Kluyveromyces lactis: one gene and its partners. The protein of the gene in region 3 binds, or shares a complex with, the protein of the main gene of each other region. Links are inferred from orthologs where the notes say so. Each region holds a gene or a part of one and is shown on either strand. Other genes may lie near its edges. The genes, in order: HRT3, KLLA0_F19943g, CDC53, LUG1, PFU1, DCN1 and CDC4.

Region 1 (2,833 bases), about 1.3 Mb from region 3:
TGCCTGCGTCCAAAATACCCTTTTATAATTAGATGGGTACTTTATAAATCTATCAAACGCAACAAATCTAGGTATACTTGTACCTCGAATCTCCATGCACTCATATATCAAACTCCGCAGATCTAATAGTCCAGCTAATAGTCAACGCTGTAATAACTCGATATAGCAACTTATATCACTCAATGGCTATATGTTTTTCTGCAACGCACCTCCAATAATTCATTCACATTACATTGTTGGACCTTACTATAAACTAAGATGTACTCTGTGATGTTTTCCGGTAATCGAGCTTTTCGTCAGTTTCTATTGAAATCCGGACGCTCTGGACATTTTCACATGGAGAGGATTTAAAGTCACGTGTAAGAAGATATCACGTGAACGGGCTTTTCTCGTATATCGTCTATCACTTAGCATCGCGCGAGCTACAAGTATCCACTCATTAGTCGTGATGGAAGTACAGCTCTCTGGCTGTTATAGTAATCAAATATGACAGCCCTGATCTAGCAGTCACGGTATGACTTCGCCTTCGAGAAATGAAATGGTTTTTCTTTGCTCAATGAGAACTGCATTGTTGTGCCGTCTTGCCTCGTTGCAGAAGAAGCAATCCATTTCAACTTGCTGAACTTCTTGTGACCTCTGTTTGAGATTTTCAAGATCTCGTTAAATTCAAGCCCATCTTTTCTTCTATTCCTCTTGATTGTCAACTGATCAAGGCCGTCGTCTAATGACAGGGACCACGAACATATATCTGAGTCTTTTCTTTCAGAACATCTTTCTAAAGAGAAACCAGGTACCACTATATTTGGTTCGTCAGTAGTCAATAATCTAATGCATCTTCCATCTGGATAGAATCTGAAGTACCTGTAATAAGTGATCATGTGGATTGGGTTCAACAGCGAAGATGATCCTTCCGGGATCGATCCGTGCCTCAAATAATTCACCACACTGATATATATTCCATGGAACTTGATATACGGCCGTTCCTTTAGCATCTTTCTATAATTTTGACCCCATACGGTTTCTGCTAGTGCTTGTATATCTGATATACCGTTTAGCCTCATCTCATTTTCGTTGTATACTTGCTTCTTATAGATGTATTCCGCGAAAGTCCGGTACGGTGAGGAATCGTGGAAGCATAGCAAATTAAACTTTTTACAAGTCAAAGATAGGTTCATCCACGAGTCTGCTGAGCTTAACACAACCATGTCTATAATCATGGATAATATATCGTCAGGGAGCATATCCAAAATCCAGCAGGGAAGTTCAACAAGGTCTTCAGTTTGAGAAAGTCCTTCAGTTTCCTCTTTTCTGCCGTCCGGATCAGTTTCCGATGAACCATCAACAATATTGACATTAGAATTGAGCTTAAGCTTTTTCATCTCTTCATTTAACCGCCATTCATCATGCATCTTCTTTCTATATAGTTTCTCAACGTCCGGATTCATCCTTAATGCTTTACGGTAATATTTGATCGCGTCGGTCATAGCACCGGCAGTTTCCTTCGAATAGCCCAACTCCCATAGTGCTATAGCTTCAATCGGTTCCTCCATTACGCGTTGTTATTTTTCGTGCGTTAGGCCCCTTGGTAATGAGTATGCTTCCTCTCTCTTTTACCTTATATAGCCGACTAGCTTTTTATGCTGTTTACGTTTTGTTCAGCTTTACGCAACAGGAACGAATATAAAGTTACTACCGAGAGATGGACAAGTACGCACAATGTTGAAAAATATGAAGTGGATTCCTTGTCAGTAGCTGCCATCCTCAGCAAATCGGATTTCTTGATTCTTATCTGACTAAAAAGTAATATTAAGTACATGGCATATTTAATATATGAAGAGCTATATAACTTCAAAGTTCATTAATATGTGAATATCACAAGAAACACAGTCGATAAATCATAAATAGCCAGTCCTTCAAGATCTGGTGCATCAATGAAAAGCAGGAACTAAAACAAAGTGCAAAGTGTGTAGTGCTGTATAGATGCTGCTTATTTCATTGTTATGTCACCACCGATTAATTTATCGATTTCATTCAATAAAGTAAAATCAAAATTATATTCAAAGGCAAATTCATTACCATTAGATAAACTTCCCAAGAGTGCAGTGTTTTCAAGTCCAGTATTAGCATTTATATTGCTACTTTTTGACATTTTCATTTCATTATCGTAAAATTTCTTGGCTAGCTCGTAGTTCAATGACGGAGATCCTAGAAATTCCAAGAATATCGAAAGATTGTCCTTCTTAATTGAACCAGTTTTTATGCACTGAATTGCAAGAATCGAAGAATACAGCATATAAATGTTACTTTTCTGGAATGTTTTGAATTTTCTCATAAACGATCTTAATAAAAAGTACAACTCTTCAATTGCGTTTTCTATCGCCTGTTTACTCTCAGGAAGTGAATCAATAAACGGTTTGTTGTAGGACAAAAGGATAACAAAATAATGATACCATACATGAGCCAAAATAGGATTGTAATCGAAGTTGATTAGCGTTGCCTTAGTGAGAGCAAACTCATCAGGTAGATTCTTACGCCAGTTTGAAACTTCACTGTTGAATTTTGTTAGATATTCCCTTCTTTCCGTTAAAGAACCGGCATGTATGAATATCTTCGGGGCGAAAACCTCAGTTATTCTTGATAGCACAATAATCTTTTTTAAAGGTTTGGCAATAGAAGTTACAATTGTAGGATCGTATTGGTAATCTTCGATACCAGTATCAATATTTGGTAGCTCATCAGTTTCTGGAATTGTCGAATTTGACACACGCAAAGAATTTGAACGACCAAACAATACTGCAATCAAGTGATCGGCAATGTAACAGCCCCAGTATAT
Region 2 (3,430 bases), about 1.3 Mb from region 3:
TCCGAGGGATTTGGTGGTACAAATCGATTCCGGTGACTTGACTCTTTATTTCAATAAGAGAATGAAAACTATTCACGTCAATGTTGCTAACCCATTGGACTGCCGTATTTTGAAGAGTTTGTTCACAGACATCAGGAAACAACGCAATATCAATGAATCTCAATTCGAATATCCTAATTTCAAGGGATACGTTTTCCTCACTTGCACGATAATAGCTGATTTGACTATCAATGGATTGCCATGTAAAAACGTCTGCTCGAAAATCGATGAGATCAAAACCAATGAACAAATCTACGATTTCAGTAACGGCGATGGCATGATGCCAGGTTTATCCTTATACGTTGTAGGGCCCTCACTTTGGCGCTTGGGGGTAAAGAATGAGCATATCATCTTCCTTCCACTAAAATTGAATTGTATCTCAAATTTAAGACAGTTCAATAAGAATTTGCAATTTGTCTGAAAGAAAGTCTTTTTGCGCAGAGTCAGACGTTTTTAATTTTTGACCTATTTCCACTGAATTTTTTTACTGCTTTCCTGAACTGTTACTTATGTAACATCTTCTCACCGTCTCCCATCATTTGCATATTTCATCTCTCATTATCCTCTTAACCTCTTCCTCTTTGTCAGCTCATCTTAGCCAAATTTTTTCAGTGCATCATTCTATTATCTAAAGTTTCATTCTTCAAGCTTTTCGATGTAGGAGTCGCATATTTTCTTTACGGAGTTTGACACATTGGCCAGCTAGTACCAGTCGAATCTGCTCATCTTCTCGTTCACTGCTGTCACAAATCTCATTTTAAAAACGTTTACTTTTTAAGTTGTATTATTTTTGCTTTTACGCGACTCTCGTGATTCGAACGGAGGAGGTTTTTTATTATAGACATTGTTTTTTTTTTTTTAGTATATATGTATTATTGTTCACAGGCTTTTTTTGTGTACTTGTCGCAGCTGGCGACACATATTCGTTAACCAATCATTCAATTATCGAAAAGCTTGGTACTCCATTTTGAATTTGGCTCATTTCAAGTTGTAAAAAAAAATCTTAAATCTCTTTGTAAAACGGTTCATCCTTATGCAGGGGAACTGCTGATCATCTCTGTATTGTTTCAAATTGACCAAATGTCCATAAAACCACGGAGGGTAATATGGACTAGATATTTATTCTTGTGAAATTCGTACTAACCATATCATTCGCTCACGTGACATTCTTATACATTGCCAATCATTTGTAAGCTACTGATGAATTAATACAAATGCTACCTTAGCCTCAGGAAACGCTTGTTAACTTTTGCACACGGAATGCAACAACGCACTCAATTGATGAAAACAGCACTAATATAACAGCACAAATGCTCGAACAGCTTCCGAACGAAATATGGCTTGAGATACTGGGATATTTATCTCAAATCGAAAAATCATCCTTGATGATGGTATCTCACCAACTTTACGATAAAACAGTGGCGTCACTCTACCAAAACCTATATTTGAACGAAAGACCAATTATACACATCCCAGAATATCCTTATTTTGGCAACAACTGGTCTACGCTTGTGTTTTCTGAAGCAGGGCGATCATCAGTTAAGTTTCAAGCGCTATTCAATACTCTAAGCAAGAACGTTGAACTTTGCAAGCTAATAAATAAGATACACTGTACTTGGCATTTAAATCGGAATTTATTGACAAGGTTTACCGGGCTCATATGTGAACATGCGACAAATATTACTTATTTTGAGAACTTTCTATATATCGAAACATTCGAAACGATCTCCAAGTCTCAGCTTGCATCGCAGTTAAAATCCTTAGACATAGTCCCGCATGCAAAACTTCCGGGGCCTGCATATGCTTCGTACTTGACTAGCATAACATCTATGGCAAACAAATTTAATTGGGCCAATATCAAGAGCCTTACAATATACTTTGATGCACTCATGTGGTTCCCAAACTTTGTCCCACTATCGGAAAAGTTACAGTTAACTGAACTATGTTTAAATCTTCGAAATGATTCTTTTCCAGGATTCGAGAGTGCACCAAGAACATCAAAATTTAGTGATTTATTTGATGTGAATACTTTGGAAAAGCTTTCCATTTTGTCGTGGTACGAGACGGAAACGTTGGATGTATACGAAGAGTATGGTTTGTTCGATCTTTCTAACTTTAAAAACCTCAAAGAGATTTCGTTGTTGTCTATATTTTACAACGAAAACTTCCTATTATCCTTGTTTTCTAACCTCACTAGATTGGAACAACTGAAGTTAGACTTTATGTTTGATCACGTCTTATCTAAAGACATCCTTACCATTTTATCTGGCATCAAGACGTTGAAATACATAGATTGTAAATTTGACGACTTGGATGAACCTATTCTTGACGTAATTGAACTAGACGACTTTGCAATATTTGAACTCAATCAAATGTGCCTATGCGATAGTTGCAAGCATGTTTACAGTGACATTATTCTCAAAAAATATTTCCCTACCAAACAGGCTTTCATGATTCAAAACTCGAGTGATATTCATTCTAAACATTTCATCAACCATATCTTTAAACTCTACCCAATAATCCCTTATTTCCATTTACTAACAACGTCCCCCTGCATTGCATACAGATCAAAGTCAATTGAAGAACTCGCTAAGAAGAGTAACGAGCTTCTAAATGACCTGTTTTACGAATATGAATCTGACACTACTGATACTAAAATAACTCCGGAAGATATCGTTTCTTTGTATCATTGTATATGTCATTCAATGAGGAGAACTTTCGACTTCTTTCTAAAACTCTTCCCCAGGTTACATATACTGGTTATCAACGATATGCCAACTATCGTTGATGAACAGGATGAACAAAAATTTACGAAGCCAATATTTTATTCATCTGGTTACGAAAGTAATCAAGTATACCAAGTCATTAACGATGAAACACTATTTGATTAAAGAAAGAGATGATAAACTCAACATAGCACATGACACATAGACTCCAATTTCGTACAAACTGTACAAACCATAAACTTTTATACTCTTGCGGTATAAAGCATCTGACTATTATCCAGATTTTTGAGATATTGTGTATACAGATTGTTTAAAAAATGTAAACAAACGGATTTGATTCAATCGAGATGAGACGTAGTTGCGGGAAAAATGATCGTTTTAAACAAAAGAGAGACGACACCAGCTGCCAAAATGGAGTCACCATCCAAAATCCCCCTCCAAGAACTTTCTAGTAATGCGTCTCCACCTTCGTCAGCCAGTGGAGAAATTTTCAAACGTCTTTCAGTATCACCTAATAGAAATCGTAAACTCCTGGAGAAGCCTGCTGCCAGGTTATCACCACAACAAAGAGTTCAAACCCCAAAGAGGTTGCCTTCACCTGATATACTTGGGCCCAATTTAAGCCTTGATAGATACGAGCGTCAGAAATCCAGTGTTGTGAAGAT
Region 3 (4,169 bases):
ATGACCAATTTTCGTGAATATTCCTGTGGATTTTAAATCCGATGAACGTAGATTTTTGCAGCAGGTATTGACAAACACCTTCCGAATGATGCTAAGGTAGTCACTGAGAGTAGTGAGAGCAGCAAGAGAGCAGAGAGGGCTACCCAAGCATTTAGGTTTGGCTATTGAGTAATGAATAGTATACTCGTCGGTCCTTTCATGATGTCTCTCTTTTTTTCTTGGGAATATTCATGCTTGAAAATATGGGGCCCAAGGTTGACCTTTGGTCGAATGGTCGAATGGTTGCGAAATATATGTTGATACATATACATTTCTTATACATATGTATGGCGAAGTAAAAGGTGGATAAAAAAGTGAGCGTTTACGCTAGATATTCATAGCATTCACCGTCGTCTGTCCTTTTCAAATACTCTTGTTCTATTAGATTGTCGACAGCTTTTTTGATCATGGACACCTTGGCGTTGAATCTCTGTTGAGATTCGGCAATACACTCGTTCATCAATGAACTGTGTGGTAGTTTTCTCTTTGCCTTCATAATTCTCACTATGCATGCTCTTAAGAACATCAATCTTTGTTGATTTAGTTCCTTTTCTGCTTTCTTTTGCTCAGATGCCTCTGTTTCATCTAATGCAGATCCATTAACGGTTGCAGTAAAGGTTAGATCATTTTTCACAGCGGCTGCAAAATTAACACTAGTTTTCGATAATCGATAGGGTTTGTTTAAGGTGTACTTTGTATCTAACTTGATCATACTTTCCACCCCTTCTGGAGATTGTATTAATAGTTTCATCTTCACAAACGGATACATATTAGACGCAATCTGTGTAGCCTTCAAATTGGTTCTCTCTTGTATTTGTTCAAAGGTCAACGTAGATATATCATTAAACAAGGTAAGAATCGCCATTTGGAAAATAGTCACAGTGAATTGGAATGGTGGTTTGCCTGGTTTACCAATATGTGCCTTGATTTCACCACGAGACATTGGCCATAGCCATTTCAATATTCTACCAGAATGCTTGTCAGTATACATGGTTTCCAATTTGTTCTTACTATGTTCAAGAACTGGTGGTAATGCGAATTCTGTTGGTTGATAGCTGAAGGGCCATACATTGTCTGCAAGAATTAGAGGTTCTAATTCAGGAACTTTGCTTCTGAAAGTTGCGGCGCTAGTAGTATTATTCCCATCTTGTGAAATGAACGTGGAAAATTCATCATGCAAGTTTTTAGATAATTTGACATCTTGTAGCATCTTGGTAATCTTGCTGGTGTATTCAAGACTGTTCTCGGACTGTAGTCTTTGGATAATGATTTCTTCATCAGCTTCTGATTTTGATGATCCATGAATTAATCTTTTTGCTAAATTTTTTCGGTAATGCATCTCAAATGCATCCTTGTCGGCCAAGAACTTAAAGACAGTCATGATATCATCCACGGTCAAATCTACCTGTTCATTATTCTTGGTCGACTTTTTGAGCAACTGGTCACTGTATTTCGCCAACATCTCAGGAGCTCTAGAAGTCGCAAATTTAGGTGAACCAGGAGGAATAGCGAATGAGTTATTGTTAATGAAGCAACGGCATCCATAGTCTAAAGCCTTAGCAAAAGCAGGATGATTTTCAAAACATTCTATGGTGATATTGTAAAAGAGTTTGTAAACTCCTATTAAACATTTCAAGTAATCTCTAGGTGATAATCCCGGTTGCCTTTTAGCGTTTGAATCTTGTGCTGCACTCTTATTATGTGCATCAATTAATTTATCGATTTCTTCATTTCCGACTCTCTTGATGTACATATCAAAAGTATCCACCAAATCTGGTAACATTCGGTAATCGCGTTTCATCAATTCGTATATGAGCTTAATCAATCTTTGATCTTGCTTATCCAAAAGTAAAATAAACTCTTTTTTTAACTTATCGGCATGATCAGCAATCAAAACTTGGTTCAAAGCTGTAGACAATGGTGCCGATGTATGGGAATCCAAATATAAAATCATGTCCTTTTCTTCGAAGATTATGCATTCATTTGCCTTTTCGATGTATTCAGAGACACTGTGAGAGTCTAAGAATTCGTTGGACATCTTCGTGTAGTATTCTTTTGTCTTCTGTAGGAATGGCTGTTCGAAGTTTTGAATATACACATTCAAATTCAACTTCTTTAAGTCTGATGGATCGATACCTAATATCACAAAGGATTTTATTGCTATTGTAATAGCAGATTTATTCACTAATTCACCCCTCCGCTGCAAATCCAATTGATCGAATATTTCAGTAACGAGTTCCGTCTTATGTGTTTCAAACATAACTTCTTTCCACGTCATCAAGCACAAAGTATGTGCATCGAAAATGTGTCTTTTACCATCGCTTCTTTCCTTTTGCACCCAGTAACGGTTCATATAGTCGAAGACCCGATTTAAGAAAATAGCTCCGATTGTAAATCTTTCCCAGCGTCTCACGTAGAAATTCAAAAACGTTACATTATCATCTTTCTTTAAATTCGATATGTAATCTTTCAAATAATTCTTTAAGTTCTCATAGATTTCTCCTCCAACAAGAATCGAAGATTGATTCATTTGCTTCCCTATAATATCAGATTGGAAATGACCTGTAGAACGTGACTTGTTGACACAGTAATTATAAATCGCCGTGTATACCTCCATGTACATCCTTGGGGAAAGAACTTTCTGAACTCTGTTTGTCTTTATATCCGATGTACCATCACGATCCAAGATCTGGTCGATCCCAGGCTTCACAAAGTTCCATGTTGCTTCCAAATCATCTGATCTAGGTAATGTGTCTGCCATAGCTTATTAGACTTGTTTCTTATTGATTGCACGTGTAGTTTCTTTTACCAGTAATATTTCTATTGAACGATGCCTAAGTTATCTTTTCTGAAGCGTTAATGAGACTTGCTTCCCACTAACCCAGTTAAATATACGCTTTAGAATAATAGTATTCCCAAGGGCGCAGGTAGCGGTACTTGTAAATAAAGATTTGGTAGTAAACTGAAATCAGCAGCGATAGAAAATACAGTTCGAGTCCCAATTAGTCGAGCAACCCTTTTCAATGAATCGAAAGAAAGGATAAAACAGAATAGAAAGCGCCTTCACTGCTAAATATGAAATGCACCACTTGTTGGCGGGATCCTATAAAAAAGGGTCACACAGGAAAACTTTATATTGCTTCTATCGTGAAGTATCTCCGAGTTGTTCGATATTTTGACCCTTTTTGACAGCCTTACTTGTTATATACTGATTTATATAATTGCATACTATGTTACTATAATTTCTTATATTTTTGTTTTCGTTTGCCACACATTATTGGAATATCAAAAAATCCTGAATTGTTCCTCAATATGAATCTGATCTTATTATTAAAGTACTTAAAAGAGGGTAAGGATTACAGCTTTCGGCAAATATACTTTAGCATACTGCAGTCGTCTAATTATGTTGTTTAATACAGGGCCCAAACTTATATGTTTATAAGGTTTTCTTTGGTACTTTTGATTTTCTTTTGTTGGGTTTGTAAACAAATTATGTACTCTCATGGAATAATGATTTATTTAAAACAATTAATCTACAGGCGTCTTAAGTCGGAAGGGCCCGTTTCAAGAATAGTCTTAGGGTCTTGGAGCACCAGAACTGACTCTTTCCACGACCCTTAATATGCTAATACTGAACGTTACAACCCAAGTGACCAAGACCAAGAAAAGGAACGCCGCGAGCGCCCTTTGTTTGTCACATATATATCCTACGTGCGGAGGATCAACTTGTGACGTTCCAGTAGATGTGCAGACCCATCGATTATCATATAATGTATTGAAGGTAAGCGATAAATTAGCACTTGAAAATATGATGAATAAAAGGTCCAGCATAATTAGTCTGACTTTAGTCATAGGATCTCTAATTCCTAGCGGTTTCCCTGAAAATTCGTCATATCCGATATAAACCAAATATAATATAGCGATGGAATTAACACATAGCGCCATGATAGTACTTGGTTGTTGAGGTATTGATGATTCGAAGGATTCGACAGTGGAATCCGAGTTCTGGTATATTCTACTTGCTAGGCCAAGAGAGATTATGCAGAGTATCACAATGAGAAATCTCAACGACAAAGGTAGATATTGACTTTGCAATAAAAGTCTTCGTAGTCTTGGTAACCATTGTTGTT
Region 4 (4,072 bases), on a different chromosome or scaffold from region 3:
ACTCACTGTAACACTAAATATAAACTATTTGCATCTCTTACTAGATCAGGTTTTCCCAAAAGAAGCCAGTCGAAAGTACCTGTCGTTAAATTGCACTTTTTTTCATTCTCGAGAGACAATCGTGCACTAAAAAAAAAAAGCTCCTACGAACCCAGCAATGGGGTGAACAGAAAAGGCATAACAGTTGCCTTTTGTTTATTTATTTCCCAATTAGGTATAGTAATGAACTGCCAGTCAGCTACCCTGACTGTGTCTATGGCCAAACTGCACAAAGGAAGCTATAGGACGGGATGCAGGTACCAGCACTGGGTTGCATAAGAGGCCCGCAAACTTTGTGCGAGCGTGATGTGAGGTGTATTTATTATTAAATTTAAATTTCTCTAGACACAGTATATGCGATTTGTCACAAATGATTCACAATTTACATAAAAAAGGGCAAGCTTGATTAAGTCTTGAGAGAATAGTAGCGATACATTCCGCGTTCCACAGTGCCAAATACTTTGTATTCTTGCAGTTGCTCGTAGTGGATACGGTACCGCTTGTTCATTTCTGGTTCATTAGGGTCATAAACGTAATCTGCACTTAGTTTGTTTTTGTCGTTTTTTTTATAGTGTTCAGAAGAAGGAGTGGACAAGTAGTGTGGCAAAGACGTTTGGGATTGAGATTGAGACTGTGAGTGTTGCTTGAATGCATTCGTCAGATTGGATGTGTTACCGTTATTGTTGTTGTTGAGGTTATTTTTGGAAGAAGAACGATGATAACTATTGAACAAGCTCATCTGTGATCTTCTTCTCTGAAGTTCAGGATCGTTCAAATAATCATAGTCCGTTTCAGCATTCTCGTATTCACTTTCCGTAAGAGTGGGATCTGCAGAGGTTGCGGATCTGTCCCAGTAGATGGCATCTCTTGTGTTTTCTCGCACAAGAGGTGGGCGCGTCTCGGGAATCGAAGTAAGCGATTGGAACGAGTTATGGATTATTGGACTATTCTCTTCAATTGTACTTGCGTCATCTTCTGTAGTAGTATCCTCGTCATCATTTCTGATAAGCCTCCATCCACCAGGTGGGAGTCTTGGTGAGAGAATAGGCATTGCGTGTGTGCCTGGTGTGGCGAACCGGCCATCTCTATTGAAAAATCTTGAAATTGGAGGTTTCATGTCTTTATATATTAATCTTCTTCTTGCAGAATTCATTGGAACAATACCACATCCTAACATGATCTTGTTTTGGGCGAATTTAAGAAAGTCGGGTTGCTTTACGATCTCAATGATCTTTCTCCCATCGGAATCGTATCTGGTCAATGAGGCTGCTTGGTCGATATTTTCACGATTCAAATATGGGTCACACTTGTATAGCCAATACCTTCTACCATAAGATGAATCGATGTAACATTTCCATTTGACGCTTTCCATGTTCTTTATATCTTGAATAATTGATGTTCTTCCAGTCTTGTTTTTGAAACAGTTCAATTCATGACGATCATTCAGGTTTTCAATCTGCTGCCAAGAGTCAAATGATAATTCCAATGACACTAAAGAATCGGAACATGTGAATAATGCAGGATCCTGGATGGTCCATCGATTAATATAGGAGTTGTTCGAGATATTTAAAAATTTTAACTTTTGTTCAACCTCGATGTCACTATCATGAACAGGTGATAGGAACTGTATTATTCTATCGTAAGGTACATTAGTATCCTTTATATTCAAACTTTTCAATGCTGGAAAATTCAACTTTATAAACTGTAAGGAATCATGGCACTGATAATAGTGCGGAGTTTTGATTAGCGTGCGGTCATCTGAATAGTGCAATGGCAGTCCTCCGATGTTAAGGTATTCCAACGTTTTATTGTGTCCATATTGACATAACTTCTTTAACAAAAACAATGTCTGCGTATCGGTCCATGTTGACGTATGTGGATGCACTTGCACGTTTAGCCATTGTAGCGTACTATTGTTATTTTCATCTGTTACAGCTGGATGGTATGAAAAGAACTCCAAAATTCCTCTTGGCGTCAATTGCAAACATTCTCCAAAGGATAAATGTGTCAAATTTTTCCAATGTGGTAAATTATTTATTAGAGTACCATCGTCAATAGCAGTATGCGTTAAATCTAACTTCTGTAACTCCGGCAGAAGGTTCAATAGCTTTGAAAGGGTATTATCTGGAATGTCTGTACAGTCATTCAAACCTAGACATGTAATCTGAAAGTTTTCACGAGAACTTGGGTGTGCCGCCATCTTTTCTACTGCTGTAACAAACTGTTTTGTGAAAACGGATCCGGAACATCCACAGAAATCTACCACACTCAACACTGTTCCAGGAGAAAGTAAGAAATGGACTATCCTCTCGTCTATATCTCCCTGAATATGCTCACTGGCTAGAAATTCCCTTAGCGTATTTTTGGTCAATAATAAGAATTCCCAAAGAGTTTCATTTGTGAGGTTTTTGATCATCCTATTCATTTCTCCAGTCCGTCCAAGACCAATCGATGTTAACTCTTGAAAGTCTGCTACCTCTACCAACTTTCTTAATCCAGGATCATCCTCTTTTAAAGTGTTTAAAAGCTTGTGGAATGACCTTGCTGTAGTAAAGTTCAAATATCTATAAATGAGTACTCTGCATACATGATGGAATGTCCTGTTAACAGTAGAGTTCGATCCTAAGAAAGTTTTGATATTGGAGTGATATTTCTCACTAGTAGCTGAGTGATCATTAGACATAAGATCCTTGAACTGGTATGATAAGATTTCATAGACTATCTCTGAAGGTAACCGCATCGTCGATGTTTCACTGATCATATTGAACGAATTATGATATGCGAGCCCCGAATAACACGTTTTATACACTTCACCAATCCTTAAAGCTATTTGCACCTGTTTTGGTGCTCTTGATGATTTCTTTAAGATCCACTTTGGTTTTCATTTTTTCTTCTATTGATGCGGGTCTTTTGTTCAAGTTCTTGTTCATTCTAATTATATCGCTACTTTATTTTTCATTTCAGGGCATAAAGTACACTTAAGGTTCATAAGGGATCAAAGAGTATGAAAAACGTGATGTGGTTATTCGTAGCTTTACTTAGTTATGTAATTAACTATATGATTGTCTAATATGAGTATGAGAATTCTTGTATTACTTTTCCTCAATTTGACAGACTAGGCGTCCTAATGAGAAGTACCCATGAAACGTAAAATCCTTGAGTCTCAGTACATTCATTCAAAGACTATGCGGATAGTTTTTTTTTAGTTCATAGAATATCGAACATATCAATTTAGAGGCTTCATAACTTCACCATAAAGCATCTTTTTCAACAGTTCCAGTGGAATATCGTCTTCCTCGTTTTTATCGCGGGCCTCGTTGTCAATTTTCCAAAAATTGTCTTCAAGGTTTAGTTGGGGATAATCTGGCTCGTCATCTGGATCATGATATGTTGCCAAATATGGATGTTCCAACGCTTCAACTGCACTGATCCTCTTGTCTGGGTTGAAAGTTAGCATCTTGGACAATAAATCGATAGCAAGAGGGTTAACTTCTTTATTTAACACATTAGCCCAGGGTATACCTTTCTTCATGGGTAGTTGAGATATGTATTCTTTTGCCCTTTTACTCTTGATTTGTTCAAAGTCTTCCAAAGTTGGAGACCCTAAAACTTCTAAGATGATCCAGAGTTGATGGTGGTAATCTTTACCTGGGAAAAGCGGCTTACCCATGATCATTTCTGCTAGTATACATCCACATGACCAGATATCCATTGCAGTTGTGTATTCTTGGAAGGACAACATGATTTCTGGAGCCCTATACCATCTGGTAGCTACATATTCTGTCATGAAACCCACCATATTCTCTCTTGATTGATCACTCGATGCCAGGCAACGAGCCAACCCAAAATCACACACTTTGAGATCACAATTGCTATTCAGTAACAAATTACTTGGTTTCAAATCCCTATGGATTACTTGTGCCGAATGTAGCGATTTTAAAGCCCTTAGTATTTGATAAACGAAATATTGGATATGATCCTCTGATAAATTTTGTTGGTTGATAATCTTCTGCAAATCCGTTTCCATCAACTC
Region 5 (3,163 bases), on a different chromosome or scaffold from region 3:
AAATTCTTTTGAGCCTAGATTTTCGAGTGATGTTAATAGATTGTGTTGGAGGATAGAAGTGTTGACCTCATCGGAAAAATTGTAATCCTCAGGTTCAGAAGTCTTCAATATACAATGTGAGATATTATTGACCAAGCTGGGTAAAAATGTATCTTCCTCTTCATCTTCAACTTCTTCAATTTGCGCATCATTTTTCGAAGTATCAATTTCTCCAGAATTGCAAACTGCTATATTGGAAGTGCTTTCAATGCATTTACAGACTTGAATTAAAACTTCAGAAAGGGAAACGAGCTGAACCAAAGATAAAAACTTCTTATGATCTACAAAGGAGCATAAGAGGTCAAAAGAAGTTCCGACAAGTAGGTTGTACTGTTCGTCTAGAAATACATTTTTCATAGAAATAATCAATTTGAAAAGTGGGACAGCTACTCTTCTTGCTGCTCTTTCATAATAGGTATCGTTATCCATGGCCAAGTTAGAAATTAAAACAACTGTCCTCAATTGCAATTTAACAACGTAGTCTTCCTCGTCAAATAGACCAAGTATCCTGCCAGCGTAGTAGTCGATAAATTCGTTATGTTTGGTACAGTCGCCATTCCAAAATACCTCCCTATTAGCATCATTATCAACCAGGCAATTTGCAATGGATCTTACTAATTCTGAAGAGATTTGAAGAAATTGTATCCGTTTACTTGATTCTTGGAATGCATAATCCAAAAAGGAATTTAGTACCCTCAACAATTGACTTAATAGACCAGTTTCTCTAATAAGGTCTCTGTTTGATTCAGCACGTAGATGCACCGCTAATTGTTCAAGAACTGTAATATAACTTTGTAAAAAGACGTCCTGGACAGGAACATCCTTTGGATTAGCTGCATTGAGCAATGGTTGCAAACCAAATAGTATCTGCTCATATTCCATTTTTGGACAATGGACTATGGGCTTTAATCGTGGTTATCATTTTTATAAAGTGGACAGTCTCGCCAAGACCGCACTTTCAATGATCGATCTTTAAACATACAATTGCTGACTTTTTAAGATTCTACTCATAAATGTCAACAACACACATAGGTAAACAAGAAAGGTAAGGTCATAAAATAATACTGGTTTGACAACCCATGACTAGAATTCTCTCGAATATTATCTTGATTATGGCATGAGTTAACAGGACTCGGTAAGTGACCTTCTGTAATAGGTCAGATGACCTATTATTTCATACACATAATAATACTTTCGGTAGCTGCAAACACTTTTAAATAGTGAAAAATCGCAAAAGTTGAGCATTAGTAAAAGCATCGACTAATTGCTAAGAAACTAATAAGGTAAGTAATATATTTCACATAGTCCATCTATGAGAACATATCCGACGGCTTCAAGAAACTATGGCTAATAAAAGAAGGCCAAAGAAAGTAAAGCCTCCTTATAGAAAATATGTTGGCGGTGTTGGATTCACACACACTCAAGGGTTCAGTCAAATAGCTGAAGAAAATGACACAACGAATATCCAAAAGTTTAATGAATTACAAATAAACGAAATACGTAATCCTTCTGATAGCGAGGAATCACGACTACAGGGAGATTCTGTCCGATCAGATGTAACTGATTACGGTGGTATGAAGCTTCCACTAGAAATATTTGACCTTACGATTTCTATGATGAGTCCGCAAGATATCAGGATGAACTTAGTGCTAGTGTGTCGAGCATGGTATCTTATATGCATACCAAAATTATATCGTACACCAAAGTTAACTAGTCGAAACTTTTTAAAGTTTGTGGAAACGGTATTGGCAGATAGGAAGAGAAAAACATGTGAGCACGTAGTTCATTTGGATTTATCTCCTATTATACAGAGTGGGAAGAATAGCTATGTGTCAAAAGTGCTACGACGTTGCTCTAAAAATTTGGTTTCATTTACAGCGCCACAGACTAGTTTTGGAATAGCTCCTTTGATCAGTCTTAAATCCTGCCAAAACCTTAAATACCTTGATTTAGGATTGGTATCAGAAACAGTCAATTTAAAAGAATTATTCTTGGCGATCAAAAACTTCCATGAGTTAACACATTTATCGTTTCCAAGAAGTTCCATTCAATGTGACGGATATAGAGACTTCCAATGGCCCCCAAATTTACAATATTTGAAGCTCAGTGGTGGGATCACAAATGAGTTCGTGCAAGAAACGATATTTCCTAATACCATCAAAATCTTAGAGTTTTCATTTTGTCCCCAAATTAATGAACATTCAATATACACAGTATTGGCCAAAATTGGTGATAATTTGACACAACTATACTTCCATTATCCAATGCCAGCCTTAAAGGACAATTCCTTGGATCATGTATTCAGGTACTGTTCCAATTTAAAAGTACTACAACTAATGATAGATTATTGCACCAGATGGGTTTTCAGTGAATACTTCTTTACGCAATTACCATATCCTCGGCCGCTTAGAACCCTCATATTGGAATGTAGCGGCCACCTTGGTCAAACATTCAAAGTACATCCTGATGACTTAACTATAGCGATATGTGAGGGTAGATTGCCTTGTTTAAAAATTATCCGAATTTCTTCTAGGCTAGGTTGGGACTCTCAAGGCGATGACGTCGGCGATTTAGTCTCGAGTTTGGAGGAAGAAAACGGCGGGAGCATGTATATCACATACTGAATGCAGTGAAAATATATAACACATAAAATTGATAGAATTTGGACATTTAATAGCCACAGTGCTTATCGGTTAGAATGAATACTCTTATTCAGAGTGCTATTAAATCCTATGCGTACCTTTACGTTGCATCAAAGCCTAAGAAAAATACATTTTTATTTAGATGTCGGATCTTGGCTAAGAATGGTTTACTTTAAGGACAAAAAGATAGGGCCGCAGCCAACAGTGAATCAGAATGACTGCAGGTTCCATCTTTTTCAGCAAGTTTGTTGTTACAAAACAAGTTTTCTACGTATGTGAAATACCATGTAGAGGATATACTTTAATTAGCAAAGTGCAATTATTGCTTTGAGTGATACCTTCAATTTACTAACCGTTGAATTCACTACTCAATAACTTCAGAAAACTAAATATTCATACGCGTTGGTGAATTTAAAACCTTTATTTCCGGGCCATGTGCTAGTTGTGCCGTTGCGTACCGAATGCCTTTCTCTCTCTGATCT
Region 6 (2,661 bases), on a different chromosome or scaffold from region 3:
TGCTCCAGCCTGCGCTTGGGCCTGCTGCTGCCTCTGTTTACTGTAAGCCTCGTACAAAGCCTTAATACGGGCCGCTTGTCTCAATAGCTCTTTCCCTTCCTTGGTATCTACACCAATTCGCTTAGCTTCGTTAACTAACGATTTTAGTCTATCCGCCAATTGCTGCATAGAAGCTGGCGTGAGGTTCTGCAGCTGTACATTACCTGCTTGGCCTGACATTGTCCGTATCTTGGTTCGTAATCCGAAATGCACACCGCAAGCCCACTTTAAGTGTCGAAATACCCTCGTGCTGGCCTTCTTTGCCCCCGTTTTGCCCTTGCTTTAACCTCGCGGCAACTACTTTCGATTGTTATTCACTTGTTGATCTTTGAAATATTTTTGAATTTTGATGCTGAAAGGAATAGGAAGACAAGTGTTACCCTGACAACATACACAATGCGTATATATGAATATATGTATCTATGAATATGTTCATAAGCGATATAGGTGTTTGCGCTGCATCACAGCTTGTCATTTTCTTCCAAGAATTCGTAATATTCGTCTATAAGTAGCGGCCAAGCAGCCATTTCATCATAGTTTTGTTTTAAACTTTCGTCATTGGGGTATTGTTCAATGAACTTATAGAACATCAACCATATATCGTTTGAGATGTTCTGTTTCCTTGGATCCGAGTCGTCAGAATTGATGAATTCAAGCCATGAATTAAGTCTCTCCTTGGAGATTTTCAACGCATATTTATTGTCTTTAAAGAAAATATTCCAGTATTCTATTGCGACATCTTTAGGTAAATGACGAGATCCCTCGTCTGTATTCAATGGGAAAGTGTAGGAATAGATTGATTTGAAATAATCTTTGTCCGTCTCCAGTCTCTCTTCTAGCGTATGTAAATAGGCTTTCATCTTTCTTAAAGTGTCGCAACATAAATCTGACCAGGCATTTAGGAATTGTTCTCGAGATACTGGTTTTGTTAAATCGTCGATGCATAGCATTTGAGAAAGACATAGCGTGATTGGGTCCTCTATCGATATACCGAGGTCTTCAATAAACCGTATTAGCCCAGAAGAGTCCCATTCTGTTGCCGAAACGCCATTCGAGTACTTCTCAAAGATAGCCACTAAACTGGGATTGTAAGATTGACGCATACCTCCAATGGTATCCACATTATCATAATAATCGTTCAAAGCGTACTCGACACGCCCTCCATTCTTTCGAAGGTATTCCTGTGCAACAGAGTACGTGCATCCTGTGAGGTTCATGAACTCTTTCTCCTATTTTTCCAAATGATTATTTGATTAGCATTTGTTAGTAAAGGTGTCATTCACCTGACCAGAGGGTAGAGGCATAGTAAAAAACATACCATTATAAAAACACAATACGATGAAATTTCTGAAGGGTTGTTATCCACGAGTAAATGATCGCTTGCTCTGGCGTTTTGTCGCGAGTAGATTGCTTTCTTCTTTACCCTAAAACTCGAAACGAATATGAAGTAAAACATGTAATTTCACTTAAAATGAACTTGTCTGTATATTTAAAATATGTCAACAAACGTAATGGTCATAGTGAAAAGTGATGAGAAGCAGGACTAAAGGGACCCAGCACCGTTGACCGAATGACTAAGACTGATGACGAACTTAAATTACTTCATGAGAAAATTCTACTTAACCTAGCTTCGAATTTAGAAGAAGAGGTAGATATGGTTCTTGCGTGGCTCAATCCCACATTCCAACCACAAATACCGACATTACGAATTAAACAATGTTTGAAAGTTGTGTTAGAGCAGAGCGATGAAAGAACGCGGTTTCTCATCGAGCAGTACTACCTCACGCTTATACGAACGCATTTCTTCTTACAATTTGATGATATAGTCAACTGGAAGGATATGATCAAGCTAGAGAAACTATACATATCTAAGGTCGAATTCATGTTTGGAACGTCAGTATACTGGATAAAGGAGGAGATGATTTCATTCAAACGGTTGTTGATGAAAAAGAATAATGAATTCAGGAAACAATTGCATGCGAAATTAGAGTCACATATTCTCGATAATGATCTAGTTAGGTTTGATCAAATGTATCAATGGTTGGCACCGGCATTTGATGGACAAGAGATTGAGTTCAATGTTAGGATAATAAACCTAAAAGTAGATCAGATGTCACAGAAACTAATGAAAAATAAGATTGACGATCGATACTTAGTAATGAACACTTATAACCATTTCATCAAAGATTTTTGGTCCAAGTTCTCCAAGTTGTTGATTATAGAAGATGATCATGAATTGACAGCCATAATATATCAATCTTTCGAGAAAAACTATATCAAATATAAATGCGACGAGTTTTATACGGATATTGTACCGAAATTTCCTGCTTCGAGGAAATGCTTGCTTGAATTGAGGAGCATCCTGAATAAAGACATAAAAACTGTCGGCACAAAAGTGCTTGAGACCTTATATCACGGATTTGTATCAAGGTTTCTCACCTCAAGTCTTTTAACTTGCGAAATACTGTATTATTACATTAAGACGGTGAAATGTTTAAAGATAATTGATCCGATGGGCATTTGTCTCCGATCGCTATCAAAGGCGGTAAGAGTATATTTGAATCCAAGACCGGATATTATAAAAACGCTACTACTCGGGATATTTCCATTCCAAAATAATGA
Region 7 (3,633 bases), on a different chromosome or scaffold from region 3:
TTTTTCATTACCTGGTCGTAAAGGAACAGTAAATACAATGGAGCATTCAAACACCACGTTTCATAGCTACAACCGAAAGTGACACCTGCAGGCAAGTTGGAATCTTGCTGTTGGAATTTTTCCAAGCTGGATCCATTATACCCTGCTCCTAAGCGTTGGTATTCGATGCTCGGATTTTCTAACCAATCGATCCCGTTCATGAATTCAACAGTGGCCTCACTCAACCACTGCTTAGATTTACGTTTGAAATAGTTATAAGTCACTCTGGTATATTCACTCTCACGTTTATCCGAAGCATAATCAGAATCTCTGTGTGGGAATGGTCTAAAATGAGCACCTGCCCATGGTGATGTGAACGTATGATTGATTGGCTGATCTTGCGGGAATTGTTCGGATACAATTGTTATAGTCCTGATATCGGGTCTTGTTTCCAGTAGTCTCAGCGCACTTGACAAACCAATAACACCGGCACCAACTATACAAACTGACATGCTCCAATATTCTGCTTTCTCAATTAACTAAACCTCGGCCGTGGCTGCCTATTTCCTGTTGTTCAAATTTATGAAACTTCTATTCATATCATATGTAAATCTAGTCAGATGTTTCATTCGATCGTCTTTTATGCAAATTGGAAATCACATTCAAACAAGAAAAGACGACTCAAACCCCCACATCTTAACCCGTAATAAGCAGCCAACTACATAGTGTTTGCGCCGGGAATTAACCAAAAAAATCGGTAGATTAACTAGGAACAGCTTCAAGGCATTTTTGTCCTGTCAGTATCGTATATCACCATTACAACCGAGATCGCTGCTCTGGTAATAATTACATTCTAACACGTGACCTGTGTTGCATGCAAGGTAAATACCTATGTAGGTCTAAAAGATAGAATGGTTTAGCTTAATATATTAGCCTCAAAGCGTTTAATAGCTAACTAATAGATGGCGAGAGTATCTCGCATAGATATAGGGACTGATAACATTGATTCAACAAATCTATGTTTATTTGCACTGTTATCGGCACTCTCAACCAAAATCAAAATTAAACTCTTGTACGATTTCTTTGTACAAAACGAAGTCACATCAACATATTGACTGACAGACGGAATATTGTTTAGCAGAAAGATAAGGAGTAACGGCAGGTGTGGGGTAGTCGTAAGTAACTTCCATTAGTTAAGGGTATAAGTAACATGGATCTCAATAGGCATGCGACCCCAGGGGTACCACAGTATCCTCTACAGAATGTTCCCGTTCCATACCGGTACCAACTTCATCCTCAGCCAGCGTCTCAGAGTAAACGAAGTATACATTATCCCCTTCAACAGCTTGACGACGATTCTGACAGCGACGGTCAGTATCACAAAAAGTTAAAGCCAAATCAGCAGGCTGTTTCCAGTCCCAACTTGATCGAGGATCAAGATGGGCCGTTACCAATATCGCCGATTGCTTCCCCATGTCACACACCTGAAGTGGAGGAACCAAGTATTGACGAAGTCATAGGGACTACAGTAGCTAGACTCAGCAGTACGACATCTCATCCAAATGCTTTAACAAGTCTTATATTTGGGCTTGTTTCCAACATGGATAGAACTCAGCTTTCAGATTTGGTCAGTATAATAACCGATAACTTGAAACGAGATTTGTTCCAATCACTACCTAATGAAATCACTGTGAAGATCCTATTAAATTTATCTTCGGAAGACATCTTCGCATGTTTGTTGGTTAACAGAAATTGGAATAGGTTAATCGAGGAGGCGCCTGTTGTTTGGAAATGGCTAATGCTTAACGAAGGTTTTGTCACCGAAGATCAGTTCCCGTCGTACTGTAACAGTTTGCCCAGTAAATATAAGCATTTGATCAACCCTGACGACAGATTTAGATTAGATTTCCTGGAGAACAACTGGTGTCTCCAGAACTGGTACGATCCAAACTATAAACCAGGGAGGACTTGTCTTGATGGTCATAGTACCAATGTTGTAACATGTCTACAATTTGAAAACAATTATATTATTACCGGAGCAGACGATAAGAAGATCAACGTGTATGACGCTGAGAATGATCTGTTCCTATTAGAATTAAACGGACATGAGGGCGGTGTGTGGGCACTGAAATTTGTGGACGGTAAGATTTTAGTTAGTGGTTCCACAGATAGAAGTGTGAGAATCTGGAACATCGAAACTGGTAAATGTACCCATGTTTTCAAAGGACACACATCGACGGTTAGATGTTTAGAAGTGGTTGAATATGGTGACAGCAAATACATTGTAACGGGGTCTAGAGACAATACCTTGCATGTGTGGAAACTTCCCCCCATGAAAGAGCTAGACAAGGGATCGCAGGAACCTATTTTCTACAGGACACCAGAGGAAAACCCATATTTTGTTGGGGTATTAAGAGGCCACATGTCTTCGGTAAGGACAGTGTCTGGTCATGGTAGAATTGTCATAAGTGGTTCATATGACCACAATTTGATGGTATGGGATATCATTAGTATGAAATTACTATATATTCTAACCGGTCACACCGACCGTGTGTACTCGACCATTTATGACTACAAGAGGAACAGGTGCATATCAGCAAGTATGGATACCACAGTGATGATCTGGGATCTCGAAAACATTGAAAATAATGGGACAACTACTACAATCAATGACGGTGCATCGATCAAAGTGGTTGGAAGCATGAAATGCCTTTATGGACATACAGCTTTAGTTGGTCTACTTTGCCTATCCAATAAATTTTTGGTTAGCGCTGCTGCAGACGGTTCGATACGCGGCTGGGATCCAAATGATTATTCAAGAAAGTTTTCGTTCCATCATACAAACCTGGCTGCTATCACTTCATTCTCCATGAACGATAACATTTTGGTTAGTGGATCGGAACGACAATTCAATGTATATAATTTAAGGACCGGTAAGCTGATACACAGGAAGCTACTCACAGATTCGGAACAAGTGTGGGGTATCAAATTAAATAACAGAAAATTAGTCGCTGCGATCGAGTCAGTGGGACACAGTTACGTAGAAATCTTGGATTTTGCTGCTCGGAATGGTGACAAGACTATCAGAACCCGGACTAGAACAAGAGTCGACCATCAAATATATCGAACGTCACTTTGGTCTTCCACTCTTTAACATTAACTATCAATTTAACTTGCATTACCACATCTGGTATCTCGCCGTATGGAAATATTCTACCATCAAATAAACTCTGTAATACCAATCCTCTGTATCTTTGTTCTCTTCTCTTCTCTTCAATGCCAGCAGACATAAAAAAGTTGTATGATTAATTTATCTACGGCATCACCTATCCCTAAGACATATATAGGAGTTTCAATACTATTTCTACGTGTTACAAACTTTTCAGCCACCCCAGTACTGGTGGATACAGTCGACTACTATACCAGACATATACAGTTCTCAACATTTACCTATCTATGTCTTCTTATCAAGATAGGGTCATCCCTAGGTGTGGAAAATTATGCCAAGGAATTAATCGGGTGTGTTTTGCGATGAGGAAAAAAGTAAGTTGCACATTGAAAAAAATGTCAAATTTACACAATATAAGTACCTCTTTCGATTTTGTCCACCTATTCTTGCAACATTCCAGTGCCTACTCAAGCATAGCGTCTTGG

What was found.
Region 1: CDC53 (region 3) and HRT3 share a complex: the UniProt entries of both Saccharomyces cerevisiae proteins name them as parts of the probable SCF(HRT3) complex. The link is inferred for Kluyveromyces lactis from reciprocal best matches to the Saccharomyces cerevisiae genes CDC53 and HRT3.
Region 2: CDC53 (region 3) and KLLA0_F19943g share a complex: the UniProt entries of both Saccharomyces cerevisiae proteins name them as parts of the probable SCF(YDR131C) complex. The link is inferred for Kluyveromyces lactis from reciprocal best matches to the Saccharomyces cerevisiae genes CDC53 and YDR131C.
Region 4: CDC53 (region 3) and LUG1 share a complex: the UniProt entries of both Saccharomyces cerevisiae proteins name them as parts of the probable SCF(YBR352W) complex. The link is inferred for Kluyveromyces lactis from reciprocal best matches to the Saccharomyces cerevisiae genes CDC53 and LUG1.
Region 5: CDC53 (region 3) and PFU1 share a complex: the UniProt entries of both Saccharomyces cerevisiae proteins name them as parts of the probable SCF(YDR306C) complex. The link is inferred for Kluyveromyces lactis from reciprocal best matches to the Saccharomyces cerevisiae genes CDC53 and PFU1.
Region 6: the proteins of CDC53 (region 3) and DCN1 are in contact, whole or in part, in a crystal structure (PDB 3O6B), measured with the Saccharomyces cerevisiae proteins. The link is inferred for Kluyveromyces lactis from reciprocal best matches to the Saccharomyces cerevisiae genes CDC53 and DCN1. Residues at the interface, in NP_010150.1 of Saccharomyces cerevisiae: His767, Val786, Ser787, Lys790, Arg791, Asp794, Ile797, Gln798, Arg804, Gly805, Asp806, Asp807, Gly808, Glu809, Tyr811; in NP_013229.1 of Saccharomyces cerevisiae: Asp181, Ser224, Asp226, Arg229, Met230, Leu233, Arg237, Glu250, Thr251, Ala252, Ala253, Trp254, Pro255, Phe256, Ile257, Asp259.
Region 7: CDC53 (region 3) and CDC4 share a complex: the UniProt entries of both Saccharomyces cerevisiae proteins name them as parts of the SCF(CDC4) complex. The link is inferred for Kluyveromyces lactis from reciprocal best matches to the Saccharomyces cerevisiae genes CDC53 and CDC4.

The regions. Positions count from the first base shown.
Region 1 is NC_006042.1:1,812,962-1,815,794, forward strand, and holds HRT3 (SCF ubiquitin ligase complex subunit HRT3), read right to left. Parts: upstream 1,551-2,833; coding exon 501-1,550; downstream 1-500. Other genes in the region: CHA4 (Cha4p), read right to left, coding at 1,988-2,833. UniProt on the Saccharomyces cerevisiae protein: Substrate recognition component of a SCF (SKP1-CUL1-F-box protein) E3 ubiquitin-protein ligase complex which mediates the ubiquitination and subsequent proteasomal degradation of target proteins. Probably recognizes and binds to phosphorylated target proteins.
Region 2 is NC_006042.1:1,856,424-1,859,853, reverse strand, and holds KLLA0_F19943g (uncharacterized protein), read left to right. Parts: upstream 1-1,349; coding exon 1,350-2,930; downstream 2,931-3,430. Other genes in the region: KLLA0_F19965g (uncharacterized protein), read left to right, coding at 1-460; FIN1 (Fin1p), read left to right, coding at 3,135-3,430. UniProt on the Saccharomyces cerevisiae protein: Substrate recognition component of a SCF (SKP1-CUL1-F-box protein) E3 ubiquitin-protein ligase complex which mediates the ubiquitination and subsequent proteasomal degradation of target proteins. Probably recognizes and binds to phosphorylated target proteins.
Region 3 is NC_006042.1:536,552-540,720, reverse strand, and holds CDC53 (cullin CDC53), read right to left. Parts: upstream 2,801-4,169; coding exon 362-2,800; downstream 1-361. Other genes in the region: SRF1 (phospholipase D regulator), read right to left, coding at 3,616-4,169. UniProt on the Saccharomyces cerevisiae protein: Core component of multiple cullin-RING-based SCF (SKP1-CUL1-F-box) E3 ubiquitin-protein ligase complexes which mediate the ubiquitination and subsequent proteasomal degradation of target proteins.
Region 4 is NC_006037.1:218,874-222,945, reverse strand, and holds LUG1 (Lug1p), read right to left. Parts: upstream 2,801-4,072; coding exon 446-2,800; downstream 1-445. Other genes in the region: mitogen-activated serine/threonine-protein kinase KSS1, read right to left, coding at 3,266-4,072. UniProt on the Saccharomyces cerevisiae protein: Substrate recognition component of a SCF (SKP1-CUL1-F-box protein) E3 ubiquitin-protein ligase complex which mediates the ubiquitination and subsequent proteasomal degradation of target proteins. Probably recognizes and binds to phosphorylated target proteins.
Region 5 is NC_006039.1:871,053-874,215, forward strand, and holds PFU1 (Pfu1p), read left to right. Parts: upstream 1-1,382; coding exon 1,383-2,663; downstream 2,664-3,163. Other genes in the region: BEM4 (Bem4p), read right to left, coding at 1-921; HNT2 (bis(5'-adenosyl)-triphosphatase), read left to right, coding at 2,896-2,952, 3,063-3,163. UniProt on the Saccharomyces cerevisiae protein: Substrate recognition component of a SCF (SKP1-CUL1-F-box protein) E3 ubiquitin-protein ligase complex which mediates the ubiquitination and subsequent proteasomal degradation of target proteins. Probably recognizes and binds to phosphorylated target proteins.
Region 6 is NC_006040.1:1,374,487-1,377,147, reverse strand, and holds DCN1 (NEDD8 ligase DCN1), read right to left. Parts: upstream 1,496-2,661; coding exon 1,358-1,495; intron 1,269-1,357; coding exon 501-1,268; downstream 1-500. Other genes in the region: TAF12 (Taf12p), read right to left, coding at 1-219; APC2 (anaphase promoting complex subunit 2), read left to right, coding at 1,610-2,661. UniProt on the Saccharomyces cerevisiae protein: Required for neddylation of cullin components of SCF-type E3 ubiquitin ligase complexes. Neddylation of cullins play an essential role in the regulation of SCF-type complexes activity.
Region 7 is NC_006040.1:647,484-651,116, reverse strand, and holds CDC4 (SCF ubiquitin ligase complex subunit CDC4), read left to right. Parts: upstream 1-1,189; coding exon 1,190-3,133; downstream 3,134-3,633. Other genes in the region: KLLA0_D07568g (FAD-dependent oxidoreductase), read right to left, coding at 1-491. UniProt on the Saccharomyces cerevisiae protein: Substrate recognition component of a SCF (SKP1-CUL1-F-box protein) E3 ubiquitin-protein ligase complex which mediates the ubiquitination and subsequent proteasomal degradation of target proteins. Recognizes and binds to phosphorylated target proteins.